2 linked regions of the Elephas maximus indicus genome follow. The protein of the gene in region 1 interacts with the protein of each later gene in a pairwise test. Links are inferred from orthologs where the notes say so. Each region holds a gene or a part of one and is shown on either strand. Other genes may lie near its edges.

What was found.
Region 2: the proteins of PRAM1 (region 1) and SKAP1 interact in binary tests that used the Homo sapiens proteins (3 or more experiments, as listed by UniProt). The two-hybrid records come from large-scale screens. The link is inferred for Elephas maximus indicus from reciprocal best matches to the Homo sapiens genes PRAM1 and SKAP1.

What each region holds. Positions count from the first base shown.
Region 1 is NC_064821.1:13,197,448-13,204,817, forward strand, and holds the start of PRAM1 (PML-RARA-regulated adapter molecule 1), read right to left. Parts: upstream 3,002-7,370; 5' UTR 2,748-3,001; coding exon 2,494-2,747; intron 1,709-2,493; coding exon 1,611-1,708; intron 1,014-1,610; coding exon 862-1,013; intron 418-861; coding exon 1-417. UniProt on the Homo sapiens protein: May be involved in myeloid differentiation. May be involved in integrin signaling in neutrophils. Binds to PtdIns(4)P.
Region 2 is NC_064837.1:45,076,454-45,083,948, forward strand, and holds the start of SKAP1 (src kinase-associated phosphoprotein 1), read left to right. Parts: upstream 1-4,495; 5' UTR 4,496-4,662; coding exon 4,663-4,711; intron 4,712-7,495. UniProt on the Homo sapiens protein: Positively regulates T-cell receptor signaling by enhancing the MAP kinase pathway. Required for optimal conjugation between T-cells and antigen-presenting cells by promoting the clustering of integrin ITGAL on the surface of T-cells.

The DNA of each region.
Region 1 (7,370 bases):
GAACTCTGGCTGCAAGGGCTTCCTGGGGTGATCAGTGAACTCGGCCTGCGAGGCCTTTTTAGGGCCCGCAATGAACTCGGGCTTCAAGGGCTTCCTGGGGTAATCGGTGAACTCAGGCTGTGAGGCCTTCTTGGGGCCTGCACTGAACTCGGGCTGCGAGGGCTTCTTGGGGTGATCAGGGAACTCAGGCTGCGAGGCCTTCTTAGGGCCCGCACTGAACTCAGGCTGCGAGGGCTTCCTGGGGTGATCAGTGAATTCGGGCTGTGAGGCCTTCTTGGGGTGCTCGCCTGGCACAGGCTGTGGAAACTTGGGCAGTTTGTTGAACTCAAGCTTCGGAGGTTTCTTGGGGAGTTCACTGGGCTCGGGCTGAGAGGCCTGGAACTTTGCTTGGAGGCTCCGGAAGTCCTGATGGCCCTCCTATGGGACACGGAGCCAGTCAGGCGGTGACTCTGATACAGAGGGTCGTGGGGACACACATAGACAATGTCATAGACACGCACCACCATCACCATCCCCAGGCTTCTCTTCCCTGGCCTCAGCCCTCATGCCTTTCTCTTTCAAGGATCCCCCATATTTTTTTCTTCAGCCTCCCCCTGAGCCCAAAACAAAATAAAACCCAACCAGCTGTCGTCGAGTCATTCCAACTCATGGCAATCCCATGTGTGCAGAGTAGAGCTGCTCCAAAGGGTTTTCAGGGGTGACCTTTTGGAAGCAGATTGCCAGGCCTTTCTTCTGAGACACCTTGAGTGGGTTCAAACTGCCAACCTTTCAGCTAGCAGCTGCTTAACCATTTGCAGCACCCAAGGATGACTCTCTGAGCTCCAGGCTCCTGTAACTATGCCCTCCCTCACCCCCACTCACCAGCAGGACCTGAGCGCCCGATTGCCTGGTTTCCCCAGCCTGCTGCCCCCACAGTCCTCTCTCAGTGATGGTGTCTTCCCGGTATCCCTGACGCCCTCCTCCTCTCATACCCCGTTTCTCCAGTTCCTTCTGTTCCAACTTCCAAATACCATCTGGAATCCAAACACATCTCACAGCCTCACCACTGTCACCAGGCCCAAGGACCCTGCCTCCATTCCTGGATTATAACAGGCTCCTCCAGGCCCCCACCCTTCCCTCACCACCTCCGTCAGTTCCCCTCCCCACCCTCCACAGCAGCCACAGGACGCCCGTTAGGCCCCAGCTCCCGCTGCTCCAATCCTGCTGCGGTTCCTCGAGTGCCCACTAAACGCCAGAGGCCTCGGCAAGGCCCTGGCTCTGTCCCAAGTGCCCTTGAAGCCCCTCGTCGAGTCCCAGGGCCACCTCCTTCCCCACTGCCTCCTTCCACTCCCCTTGTTGCTCCTTGAACTACCTTCCCTCCCATCTTGGGGCCTTCGAACTTGCCCTTCCCCTCTCCTGGGACACTCTTCTCCACCACGTGGCTCTTTCCTCTTCCTCCTCCAGTATTTGCTTATTAGAGAGGTTTTCCCGGAGCGCCATATTGTAAATTGGTTCCCCTTCCCCAGTACTGAGTTCCCTGAATGGCGCAAACAGTTCAATTCTCAGCTACCAACCGAAAGGTTGGTGGTTCACATCCACCCAGAGGCACCCCAGAAGAAAGGCTCATTGACCTGCTTCCGGAAGATCAGCCACTGGAAACCCCAGGGCGCACAGTTCTGCTCTGACACGGGGTCGCCATGAGTCGGAGTTCACTCGAAGGCAGCCGTTTCTGGGTGGTGTAAACAGTTAACCTGCTTGTCTGCTAACCAAAAGGTGGGTGGTTCACGTCCTCCCAGAGGCACCTCAGAAGAAAGACCTGACAATCTACTTGTGGAAAGGGCCTATGGAGCAGTGTTCTACTCTGACACACATGGGGTCGCTGTGAGTTGGAGCTGACGTGCCAGCAGCTGTTCTTTTTGTTTCTGTACTACCTACGTGATTTTTCCCTTAGCAGCTGCCACCGTGTGTCATGCCTTTTATACATACACGGACACACACGCACACATTTTTTATGTGTCCTGACAGTTTTTGTTTTGTTTGTTTTTTTGCCTCTACCCCCACCCTCCGCCCCTGGAAGAATGTAAGTGCCGCCAGGGCTGTCATCTTCGCAGTGCCTGTCACGAAGTAGGTGCTCAGTAAATGTCTGTTAAATGAAAATACACAGAGAAGCACAAAGGTATCGTCTCAACCATGTACAGTCTGTTACAGACCCACGTGGACATGTGTGGAGGGACACACGGACCTGGGCTAAGCACAGGCACACGTCACAGACACCAGGCAGCAGCGGCAAACAGTCCACCTCAGGCACCCTCCCTGGCGCTGCACGAGCCCACAATGCTGCGGAAGGCTCCTGGCGACAGGCACGGGCAGGCGCCCAAGTAGGGCAGGCCCTTTCTGACCTATAAATTCCCCCCAGGTGGCCCTGCATCAGACCCCTGAGCCTGGCTTTCTGGGGGTCAGTAAGGTTGGGGGAGGAGGAGGCAACAAGCGGGAAGAGGGAAGGACTGGCCTGACCTTTGCCTCACTCTCCCTGTCGGGAGAGCCAGGGGGTCCGGATCACCCCTTGGAAAGACGAGGACCCCCGCCAGGGGCCTGAACCGTCTCTGGTCAAGCCCCCAGCTGGGCTGGCTGAGTCCAGGGTTCCCAAGTGACCACAAGGCCTGATAAATCAGGATCAGCAGGTCATGATTCAGGTGAAAGGGAGATGGGGATGGGAGGTGATGATGTATGACCCACTTTGTCACGCCACAGGAAGTCCCTACTCTCATCCCGGCCTCCCGTGACCAGGTTGCTGCTCATGCTGACCTGGGAGGTGGGGAGTGGTCCTGGGCTGTCCCACCTGTCCCCCTTGCAGTCACAGCCCAGCCTGGCCTGCCCTCAGAGCCCGAGCTGCCCTGGAGCTGCGCCCAGCTGCTTCCTACCTTAGGGCCCTTTCCGGGTCTCAGCCCCACTCCTAGGCTCTCCACTCCTACAATGTGCCCACTACTACCCATTGCTCCTCCTTCGCTACCTCAGGTATGGGGCTCTCCCGGGGTTGGGGACTCACCATGGCTGCAGGCAGGTGACGGGCTGGGGCGCGTGGGACCCGCGCCGGGCTGCTGCCTTCAGGAAATGACTGTGGCTTCTGCTCTGGCCAGCTCTCAGGGGTGGGGGCTGCTGGTGGAAGGCAGAGGAGGAAGGAAAGGAGGCGGGGACTACCCCAGCCTGTCCTTAGATCCTGCAGGTACCTCTGTCCCCCTTGAGTTCCTGTCCCACCTGCTGCTGCTGTCCCTGAGCTTCAGGTGCTGGGCAGTATCCATGCCCAACAGGGGCCCTAGCTTGTTAACTCTCTGTTGCCCTCTCCCCCGGGGGTACTCAGTGCCAGGCCTTGGGGGCCTTCTGCCTCCAGAGAGAAAGGCCCCAGGGGAATCCAGCCCTGGCTGGAGCCTCCGATGGGGCATCCTGGGTGGGAGAAAGGCATGGTCAGACCTGGGGAGCCCCCAAGAGCTGGGAGAGGGGAGGGGTGTGCTGTCTGAGGCCTATTGCCTGCCCTCTTGCCTCACTCACCTTCCGCATTTCAACGCTTCCCCACCAGCTGCTTCCCAGCTCGGACCCAGACTTCCCTGTCACACTGCGAGGCTAGAGGGCTAGGGCAGACAAGCTGGCACAGGACCTGGCCAGGGTGGCGGATTTGGTTGTGGTGATGGAAGTGGTCAAATGCCCTGCCCACGGGGGGGAGAGGGGGGAAGAGGGGGCCTGAGGACACCCCAGCCCATCACTTCCCTTCTTGAAAGTGTGAAGGGGAGGAACCAGAGGTGACAGAGGGCAACAAGGTGGCAGAGAGGAGCTGGAGGCAATGGGAAGGACCAGTCCAGCCAGATAAAGGCAGGTACTGACAGGGGCCTGTCCTTGGAGGTCTGCAACCTCACGGGGAAAGCCTCCAGTTCAGAACATTGGAATTCCCTGAGGAGTTGACAAGACAAAACCCTGCATGGATTCTGACTTAACTGGTCTGGGTGTGGCTTGGGCTGTTGTTAGTTGCCTTCCAGTGGATCCCACGTCTTGGCGACCCCACATGTACAGAGCAGAACTGCTCTGTAGGCTTTTCTTGGCTGTAAGCTTTACAAAAGCAGATTGCCAGAACTTTCTTCCACAATACTGCCTTAAGTTGTTAGTTCCTGTCGATTTGATTCCGACTCACAGCAGCTTCATATGTGCAGAGTAGAACTGTATTCCATAGGGTTTCAAGGCTGTGACCTTTTGGAAGCAGATGGCCGGGCCTGACTTCCATGGCACCTCTGGGTGGGTTTGAACCGCCAACCTTTGGGCTAATAGGCACTTGACTGTTCGCACCAGCCAGCCACCTGTGGCCTGGGTACGAGGATGTTTTAGGCCTGCAGAGCTGATTCTAATCTGCAGCTACATTGAGCAGCACCAGAAACCTTGCTAAGATGCAGATTCTGACTCAGCTCCACGATGGGCCTGATTCCCCAGGCCCCCCAGTGATGCCGGGACTGCTGGTTCAAAGACCACACTTTGAGTAGTGAGGTGGGAATGAGCTTATTTGAAGAAGGGGCAGACAGGGAAGGCAAGCCGGCCTGTCTTGAGGACGGTGCCTTCTGCCTTCATCCTCTGCCCTTCAGAAGGGAACTGGCAGCACCTTCATTTCTGTGTCTGCATTAAGAGCACAGCCTCGGGATTCCGGAGCCTCCAGGCCACTTTGCAGGTGTAGGGCCCCTTCCAAACAGGGCCCAGCCAGGGTCCTCTGGGTCTCCAGCCTCAGCCAGCAAAGGCTGGTTGGAAAAGCACCGCACGGAATGTTTGGTAAGGGAATGCATGAATAAAAGAACAAATGATTATTGGCCAAGAGCATACAGTAGATGCTCAGTCAAGGTCAGCGAAAGGACTGACAGCTGGTGACTCGTGGGCAGGGGAGCCAGCGGGCGGTGCGTGTGGCAGGCCGGGGAAAGCAGGTGTGGGCGCGCGGTCCCAGCACGGCCACCAGGGGGCGTATCCCCCCCCCTTTGTGTGTTTGGCGCCTTCCCTGTGGAGCTGGGGCCTGGGTCCGCGAGGCCAGACATGGACAAGCGGCTCCACTTGCAGCTGCGGAATCGGAACCCAGCAGAAGTTATCAGGGGGCAGGATCCGCCTTGGGGAGCGGGGTTTCGCTGGGGCGCAGCCTGGAACACTGTGGACTGGGGAGGGGACCAGGCCTGGGAACTTAGACGCTCGGGTGTCCTAGCGCGGGGGGCGAGGGGCCTGAAGTGCGCAGAGAGCTGAAGCTGGCACGCCCGGTCCCTGCGCAGGAGCCCGGGGCCATGTGGCTGGCTGCCCGGGTCAGGGGTGGCGACACCCGGGCAACCGAGGGCCAGGCTCAGCCGCACGTGGTCCGAACAGTCCGAGGCCGGGGGTAGTCTGAGCACGTGGGCGGCCAATCCGGGGGGCGCGTAGGGGGGGCCGCCTGGGGGGGGGGCGCAGAGTCCGGAGCCCGGGATCAGGGCTGGCAGGGACTGCGGGTGCTCCACCCAGGGTCCGGGGACGCGCCCAGGAAGGAGCCTCCACCTCCCGGCGCCCAGCCTGGCGTGCGGGTAACCGAGCCGGCACCCGCAGGTGACCGAGCTGGTGCTGGACAACTGCCGGGCAGAGGGCCGGCACCTGACTGATCTCACAGCGGACTTGAGCCGCCTGGAGCGGCTCAGCCTGAGCTACGTGAACCTGCAGTCGCTGGCGAACGTGTCCTTGCTGGGCCAGCTGCGAAAGCTGGACGCCTGCCGGAGTCAGGATGCCCTAGCTCATCTCATTCATTCCCTCTAGGGACAGACTTCTGGGCGTTCTTTGCTGGGCCCAGCTGCGGCCCTCACAGGACTCATCTCCAAGGCATCCTGGAGTTGGAGGGGGTACCTCTGTGGGTCACGGCTTAGCTAGAGGAAAGGGAGCCAGATCAGAAGGCTCCCCAGGAAACCAGACAAATGTTGACCTTGAGTGGGGGAGGCTTGAGGATAGGAGGTAGTTGCTGGAGTGAACACAGTGGTTGGTGGAGGCCAGATCCTGATCCAGCTCCTGGGGCCTTCGGTACAGTTCCAACTTGTTCCAGAGGGCAGCTGGGAGCGGTTCCCTCCACAGAAACGATGGGCTGGGGGGACGGCCCTGGATAAAGGCGCTGGCTTTGGGTCTCTGGAAAGGTGCCGCCAGATTGGGAAGTGGTGTTGCCTGGATTTGGGGGAGGGTGGGGGACGCTGGAGGGTTGGGTGTAGGGTGATGGAAAACAGTAATTACGTGATGATCATTCGGCAATTAATTCTTGATCACCTATTACATACCACAAGAGCACTCGTGTCGAAAAGGTTAATCACTCAGCTGCTAGCCGCAAGTTTGGCGGTTCAAACCCACCAGCCTCTCTATTGTAGAAAGGAGTTGGCCGTCTTCTTCTGTAAAGATTACAGCCAAGAAAACCCTATGGGGCAGTTCTACTCTGTCCTATAGGATGGGAATTGACAGCACACAACATTATGTTCCAAAGGAGCCCTGGTGACATGACGGTTAAGAACTTGGCTGCTAACTGAAAGGTCAGCAGGTCAAACTCACTAGCTGGCTCCTCAGGGGAGAAAAGACCTGGTGATCTGCTTCCGTAAAGATTACAGCCAGTAAAGTCCTATGTGCAGTTCTACTCTATTGCCTGGGGTCACTATGAGTCACAAGCGATTCTACAGCACCTAACATCATTATGAACCAGGTCCCTGGGCTGAGTGGTGCAAATGGTTTGCTCTCAACTACCAACCTACGAAGAAGAATTAACCGAAGAATTGATGCCTTTGAATCGTGGTGCTGGCGAAGAATATTGAATATACCATGGACTGCCAAAAGAATGAACAAATCTGTCTGGAAAGAAGTACAACCAGAATGCTCCTCAGAAGCAAGGGTGGTGAAACTGCACCTTACATACTTTGGACATGTTGTTAGGAAGAATCAGTCCCTGGAAGACTTCATGCTTGGTGAAGTACAGGGTTAGCGGAAAAGAGGAAGACTCTGAAGGAGACGGACTGACACAGTGGCCACAACAATGAGCTCAAGCGTAACGACGATTATGAGGATGGTGCAGGATTGGGCAGTGTTTCATTCTGTGGTGTATGGGGTCGCTGAGTCGGAACCTACTCAATGGCACCTAACACCACCACCACCACTAGCCTAAAGGTTGGCACTTCAAACTCACCCAGTGGTGCCCCAGAAGAAAGGCCAGCAATCTGCCTCCATGAAGATTACAGCGAAGAAAACCCTAAAGAGCACAGTTCTACTCTGTCACCCACAGGGTCTCCATGAGTTAGAATCAACTCGATGGCAATGAGCCAGGGGACCCTGATACCCGGAGAGGAGCTGGGGGTCTGGAACACCCTGTCCCTGAAGTGAGGGAGAAT
Region 2 (7,495 bases), on another chromosome or scaffold:
CCTGGCATGAGGACATATAGACAGCCTCCCCCAGCAGCCCAGAGGCCAGCAGGGGCCCTATTTTCTGTCTGCTGACAGTGTGTGAGGGGCTCCAGTGACAAGAGGGTATATTTTCTGCATGTTGTGCTGCTGGACTCCATTCTTGGCTGCTCTGCATCTCTTTAGATACCCTTATCTTATCTAATTACAAGGAATTTCAGATTAATTTCTTAGCCTCTGCTCCAAAGGACCTCTTATCAGTGAGGGCCTTGCACTTTAACCTTGTCATTCTTTTGTTGTTTGCCTTTAAGGGGGGGGCACCTAAGATCTTGCTGGAATTGGGGTTGGGGGGGAGGGGAGAAAGAGGGAGGAGACAGACCTGGGATTTGTGTATTCTGCTCCATTCCCCCCGCCTGTGTGCAGAGACAGCTGGCTGCTTACTTCCATGACAGCCACGTGGTACCCAGCCACACAGAACAGGACCTGGGCAGGGACTCATCTGCTGCCAACCTCTTCGGATCCCTTTGATATTTCTGACAGAGCAGTAAAGGACTCTTGACTATGATGGTTTGCCTTGCCTCTCTCCACCTCCTCTAAGACTCCTTGATGTGGTTTCCATGGCTACCCCCAATCAGATTTGGCTTCCTTCGAAATTGGATTTCAAAGAAGGACAAGGTTTCAAAGGAATTTGTCCATTTAACAGAATGTCATTAGGAGTGAGGCTGACTGCTGAACTAGGGTCCTCAGATGATTAAGAAGGGGCTGTGCTCATGTGTGGAGGCAGGTTTCTGTCTGCAATGAGGAACCTTGATGCAACATGACAATACCGTACTGGAATCTGCCAGTCAGCCACCACATGCTATCCAACCCTGTGCCTCTCTCTACCCCTACCTCTCTAAAACCCAGAGATTCCTGTGGGGAGGAATGGATGTAGAATACCTATGCAGTGAGTTTCTGCTCTTTCCCTTGGTATAAGTAAGCTCTGACAGGCAGTGAGGCCTTTGAGGATGTGCAATTACCTGGGTTTATTGCTCCTTATCAAAAAACTCATTAGCTTGTAGCCTATATTAGCAGGTGACACAATATCTTTGAAGAAGGGGGGTTGTTGAATTTTTCTTTCACTCCTGAGAGGGGAGGCAAGGCAAAGTGCTGAGGTGCCATATAGGAGGGGTTTTGTTTCCTTAAAGGAACCATACCATGGTGGCACAGTGGTTAAAGCACTTGGTGGCTGACCAGAAAGGCCAGTGATTTGAAACGACCAGCTGCTCTGAGAGAGAAAGATGTGGCAGTGTGCTTCTGTAGAGATTAAAACCAAAAAAGCCAAACCCGTTGCCATCAAGTCAACTCTGACTCATGGCAACCCTACAGGACAGAGTAGACCTGCCCCATAGAGTTTCCAAGGAGCGCTGGGTGGATTCGAACTGCTGACCTCTCTGGTAAGCAGCCATAGCACTTAACCATTATGCTACCAGGGTTTCCCTGTAAAGATTATAGCCTTGGAAACACTATGGAGCAGTTTTACTCTGTCCTACAGGGTCACTGGAAACCCTGGTGGCGTAGTGGTTAAGTGCTACAGCTGCTAAAAAAAAAGGTTGGCAGTTTGAATCTAGCAGGTGCTCCTTGGGAACTCTATGGGGCAGTTAGTTCTACTCTGTCCTGTAGGGTCCATATAGGGCTGTTATGAAAGGAACTCACTTGACAGCAACGGGTTTTTTTTGGTGTAGGGTCACTATGAGTCAGAATTGACTCAACAGCAGTCGGTTTGGTTTTTGTTTCTTTTGCTGTTTTTTTTTTTTTAATAAATTATTTTTTAACACAGTTTTAGATTTACAAAAAAATTGTGATGATAGTACAGAGAGATCCCATATATCCTCCTTTGCTTTTTAACACATGGTAAAAGTACGAAAAAATGATTCAAGAACAGCTACAATTTTATAGAAGGATAGGCAATGAGGTTGGCGAAACTGCCTGGGGGCTACCTGGTAGTTTCTCAGGGGCCTAGAGGGGGCAGCTTGCCCATTACTACACCTTCCCAGGGCACGAAGGAGGACCAGCAGGAGCCAGATTCCCTAGAGACTCCAGCCAGCCTTCTATCCCCACCCGACAACTTGTTGTGGGTGGGTCATGTGACTCTGAAACCAAGGCACCATTCCTCTTCAAATCACAGGAAGCGAAAGTGTAAAGATGGCTCAAAGTCACTGCACCCCCTCAAGGATCAGGCCTCCAACCTTGAGGCTGTATCTCTAGAGGGGAAACTAGGCCAGAAAAGTAGGCACTGCTACCACCGTTTCTTCTGGCTGTTTCTGTCACCACCTCCCTGCTTTAAAAAGAACACATTACCATCGTGACCCTATCGGACAGAGTAGAACTGCTCCATAGGTTTTCTAAGGCTGTAATCTTTATGGAAGCTTTCTTCTATGGAGCGGCTGGTGGGCTCAAACCACCAAGCTTTCAATAAGCAGCTGAACACCTTAACCACTGCACCACCAGGGTTCTTCCCCTTCTTGCTTTAGTTCACCATTATTTCCCTCTGATGCCACCGTAAAAACCACTTCACTCATCTTCCCGATGTCCTCTCTCTTACCACTTCCAATCCTTCCCACATAGTCTGTGGGTTGAGTCTGAGAATAGAAAACTCCATCTTACAAAGAAGGAAAACGGTAGAGGTGAAGTGAGATATGTGAGGTCATATGCTACCACAGAACTCTGATTAGGTCACCTTCTACCTCAAAAATTGTCAATGGCTCCCCAATGCCCATTTGATTGAATTAAAAATCATTCAAGGCCTTTCACAATAGATTCAATTTATTTTGACACCATAGTATCCCTACGCCATCCAGTAAAAGAGGGCTACTAGTAAGCGACTCCACGGCATTGGGTTTTTGGTAGTTGTTCCTTAAGTAGTAGAGGGCTTTTCCATCTGTTTATTCTGGTCCTTCCACTTGGAAAGCGCTTCTGACCCTTCAACGTCTGGCGTGTTTTTCAGAGCCTATTTCAAATGCTACATGCACCACTAAACACACAGACACTTCCCTCCTTTTCTTATACCCATCTCCCTCCCACAGCATTTTAAACCTTTCTCACAGCACTTGGCCTACTGTAGTTTTTTTAAAAGTAAACTCTTTATTGTGAGGTAACTGTAGATTCACACGCATTTGTAAGAAATAATACAGAGATCCTGTTCACCCTTTACCCAGAGCCCCCCAATGGTAACATCTTGTAATACAGCATGGTATCACAACCAGGATACTGATGCCTATGTACTTCGAGTAAGGGGGAGAGAAACTCTCCCCTATGATCTTGGCCTAGCCTCTGTTCATTCTCCTGTTTGTCAGCTCTTAGAGGGAAAGGGCTCTGTACGCCTCTCTGTCAGCTTCCCTACCCAGATACCTGTTGTGGATTGAATTGTGTCCCCCCAAAGTATGTGTCAACTTGGTTAGGCCATGATTTTCAGTATTGTCTGATTGTCCATTTTGTCATTTGATGAGATTTTCCTATGTGCTGTAAACCCTATCAATATGATGTTAATAAGATGGATTATTAGTGTCAGTTATATTGATGAGATCTACAAGACTAGATAGGGTCTTAAGCCAATGTCTTTTGCAATATAAAAGAGATTATCCAGTAGAGACATGGGGACCTCATACCACCAAGAAAGCAGTGCTGGGAGCAGAGCCTGTCCTTTGGACCTGAAGTTCCTGTGCTAAGACGCTCCCAGACCAAGGGAAGACTGATGTATCACAAGGACCTTCCTCCACAGCTGACAGAGACAGAAAACCTTTCCCTAGAGCCAGAGCCCTGAATTCAGACTTCTAGCCTACTGGGCTCTGAGAGAGTAAACTTCTCTTTGTTAAAGCCATCCACTTGTGGTATTTCTGTTACAGCAGCACTAGATAACTAAGTCAATACCCCTTCCTTTCTCCATATCCTTTCAACCTTAGAGGGGGACGCTTTGTCTTCCTGAGTCCATTGCTGCTGCTTCCGCTCCAACTCTCCCAAATGTTGGTGGCTTCATATAATTTACCGGGACTTAAAATCATTCCCTTTAAACATCCAGGTTTACCTGAGATAGAGAACGTTCTGCCTTAGTTTTCTGAGCAACGACGGTGTGGACGGGATCAGGAATTGAGTGGCGCTTCTTGGCTTGGACTAACCTCTTTCTCGGGTTCCGCCTGTTCACACCCTCTTTCAGGCATCTCTGTGGCGTCCAAGCCTTTAGGCCAACTGTTCAGTGCTTAGGTCGGAAAGTCTCAAAGAGACTTGGTTCCTTTGAGTCTTGTGAAGTCCCTCGTTTTGGCAACCGGCCTGTGGGGAAACCTGTCGGCCTCCACGGTGCGGCCCTCCCGCCCGTCCATCCTCGCCACCAGCGGACCTCAGAGCCCCGGTGACGGTGCCGCGCGCCCCCCGCGCGGGCACGCCACGCCCCCACCTCCGGGCTGCGCCCCCGGCCGCGAGCTCCACGGGGGGCGCCCCCCGGCCCGCCGCGCGCGCCACTTCCTGAGCGCGCCCCGGGATCACGGCCCCGCCCTGCGGCTCGGCCCGGCTGCTGCGGCGGGCGACGACGGCAGAGGTACAGGTGCCTCCGCGGCGGTCTCCCCTCACCTTCCAGCCCGCCGGTCTTTGGAACAGGCCTTCACGCCCCTGTCCTGTCTCACACGCCGGCCTTCCTACCGTCCCCGCCAAATGCAGGCCACCGTCACTCTCCCTGAGGAGGTCTTTTGGCTCCTGGAAGGTAACGCCCTGGCCCAGCCCCCAGCTCCCTCCCTCCACCCCCCGGGAAGTCCCTCAAGTGCTGAGCTGAAGGGAGGAAAGGAGACACCAGGGGCTCCCAAGGCCAGGCTTTCTCTTTAGCTCCTTCACTCAAGGCTTCTAGAATCTTCAAAACTAGGTTTTCATCCACTCACTTCAGGGTCCCTTTCTCTCTCTCCAATTCCACATTTTCTTTTTCCTCAAGGCGTCTTTACTACACATAACCTCCCCAACTTCTAAACTCCTCCAGGCCAGGTTGTTGGCCCCTTACCTGTCATTTCCCCCTTAGGACCACGCCCTACATCCGCAGGCTTTCTCCCTTTTCATCACCACCCCCCGCCTGCCCACTTCCATCACCTTTCACAGAAGATCCTCACCTTCCTGCTTAGAGGCCCCTGAGGTTCTGTGAAGGACTCCCAGGGTGAGCCTTTGTTGGTCGAGGCCTGGTGGTTCATCTTAGTTTTTTTGTCAGTGCTGAAACGCCAGGCCTCACTTTATCAGCCTGCAGATTTCTAGGGGGTCTCAATGCTGAACCCAAGTCTAGCTAGAGTTGTCCCATTGTGCTATGTTTACTTTGAAACTATAGTGTCTAAGCAGTCTTTTTAGAAGGTTGAGGCCATACTAACACTCAACACGTACTTCTAACGCTCTAAAGAGACTTTTCCTTAATGGGCAGTATCATCTGCTCAGGTCACACTTTTCCTGGTGAAAGGAAGTTTTACTTGTTTTCCTGTAGCTGACCTTCTAGGAAAGACAGAGATTTGGAGTCTGCAGTTAAATAGGGTCTCAGGAGGAAACCACTTAGAATTAAGCTTTTTGGCATCTAAGTGACATTTTGGCACATACGTAACAGATGGCCTTCTTTGGGCAGGTCATGCTCTTGGCAAGCAGTAGTTTTTCGGTTTCTCTCAATTTAATTGGTTTTACCTCTCCATTACTTTGTTATTTTGATATAAATGCCTCCTAATCAAATATTTGGCAAGTTCTTTTGGTCTCTGCTTGTAGCGCCGTTTCCGCTCTGGATTTCGTCTATGTGAAAACCGTCAACTAGATATTTCTTCTGAGGTGAGGTTTCCAGAATCCATTTTAATTATGACCTGAGTGAGGCTAAAGTTTAGGAATAGAAAACTATTTGCAAGGTAAAAGAGAGTTATCTGGGTTTCTAAGAAGAAGCAATCCAGCCTTTTCCTCTAGTGTTGAGTTGGCTCTTGGTTCAATACTAGGCTTGTGACAAGAGGCTGTAAGTGTCTTTGGTTTCCAGGGTAGAAGAAACTGTGGCGAGAAGTTTAATTCTGCTCTTGCATTTAAAGATATAAAGTGATCCCTTTTTTGGTGTCTGTCATTTGATGAAACCTATCTTACAAGCTTGTTAAACTATACTTCAGTTTTGTGTGTAGCCTTGGTAGAAAATTCCTTTTTATTTTCAGAAGCTTGCGGTGAAACTCCTTCAGCATTTTTGATACGCAGTCCTGTATTGTTCAAAACTGACACTTTGGTAAACAACTCATTTCTGCACCTGCCACCTTCCTTTAACTTAGATTATATTCTTGTTAGCTGACTGTTTTTAATTGAAGTCTTCAGATCTCCTTCTAAAGTAGAACCTTTGTTTGCTGACAAGCAGAGCAGGCGATGAATGGAGATTAATTGCATGTCACATACTTCTGTATCAAACTTGCTGTGTCTTAACAATCTCTGTTGGTATTCAGGTCTTTAGGATACAAGGAGGAGTCTGAGGTTAAATTTTAAAGAGCATTGTATTTCTTTAAGGTTTTTTTTTTTTTTTTTAACTTTGCAATTAGAGTCTGAATCTCAGGTAGAGGGAAAAAAATGTAAAGTAGGATCCAGCCAGTGATCCTCTGGAAAATATTTGAAGACGGTTTTCAAGATTCATTTAGTAATACCAACTTATTGGCTGTAGGTTTAATTTTGTATGGAAAACAGTCTCTAGTGTAGACCAGCAGAATTACTCATTGTGTTACAAATAATTTGTGGATATTAGAAACCCAAAATGGCCATCAATTTATATCTATTGCTGTTTACTCATCTCCCCTTCTATTTAAGGTTAACCCTTGACAATTAGAAAATATGTAGGTCCCGATCTCTCTACAGTCACACAATGGAAGGGAGTCACAGGATGTAAGAGCAGCTTTACTGCTGCCACGTGGCCGTGGGGTGGAGTTTCCACGATGAATTACTACTTTCATAAACCAGGGCATAAGCCTTTGCACAGTGATTTAATGCTGGCCATCACAGCCATAACTTAAGCATTTATTTATTTATAACCACATGGGCATAAATGACAGGGGTGTTTTTTGACATAATGTCTGCTTTTAAAAATAAAATATGCAAAGCATTGTGAAAGGTTTATACCACACTTTTGCATAGTGAAGAAGGGAACAGAAATTCTGAAGGTTTAAAATTAATTTTTTGTAGCGATAAAATTTTAAACATTGGAAAATGTTTAATTTGAGAAACCCCATCTCTAGGAATCCATGTCACTGAAATTAAAGTGCATAAGGTACGTGCACAAAGATCCATCTTAAATGTCCTTGAGTTGGGAAAGAATGAGGGGATAGTTGAATGAATTAAGGGACATCCATATTACAGAATACTTTGCAGCCATTAAAAAGGATATGATACATCTGTATATATGAACTCCGAAAATGTCCATGGCATGTTTTTAAGACTGAAAAAAGCAAGATGCATATTAGTATATATAATACCCTATTTTTGTTTGAAAACAAACAAAACCAAAAAATCACCAAGT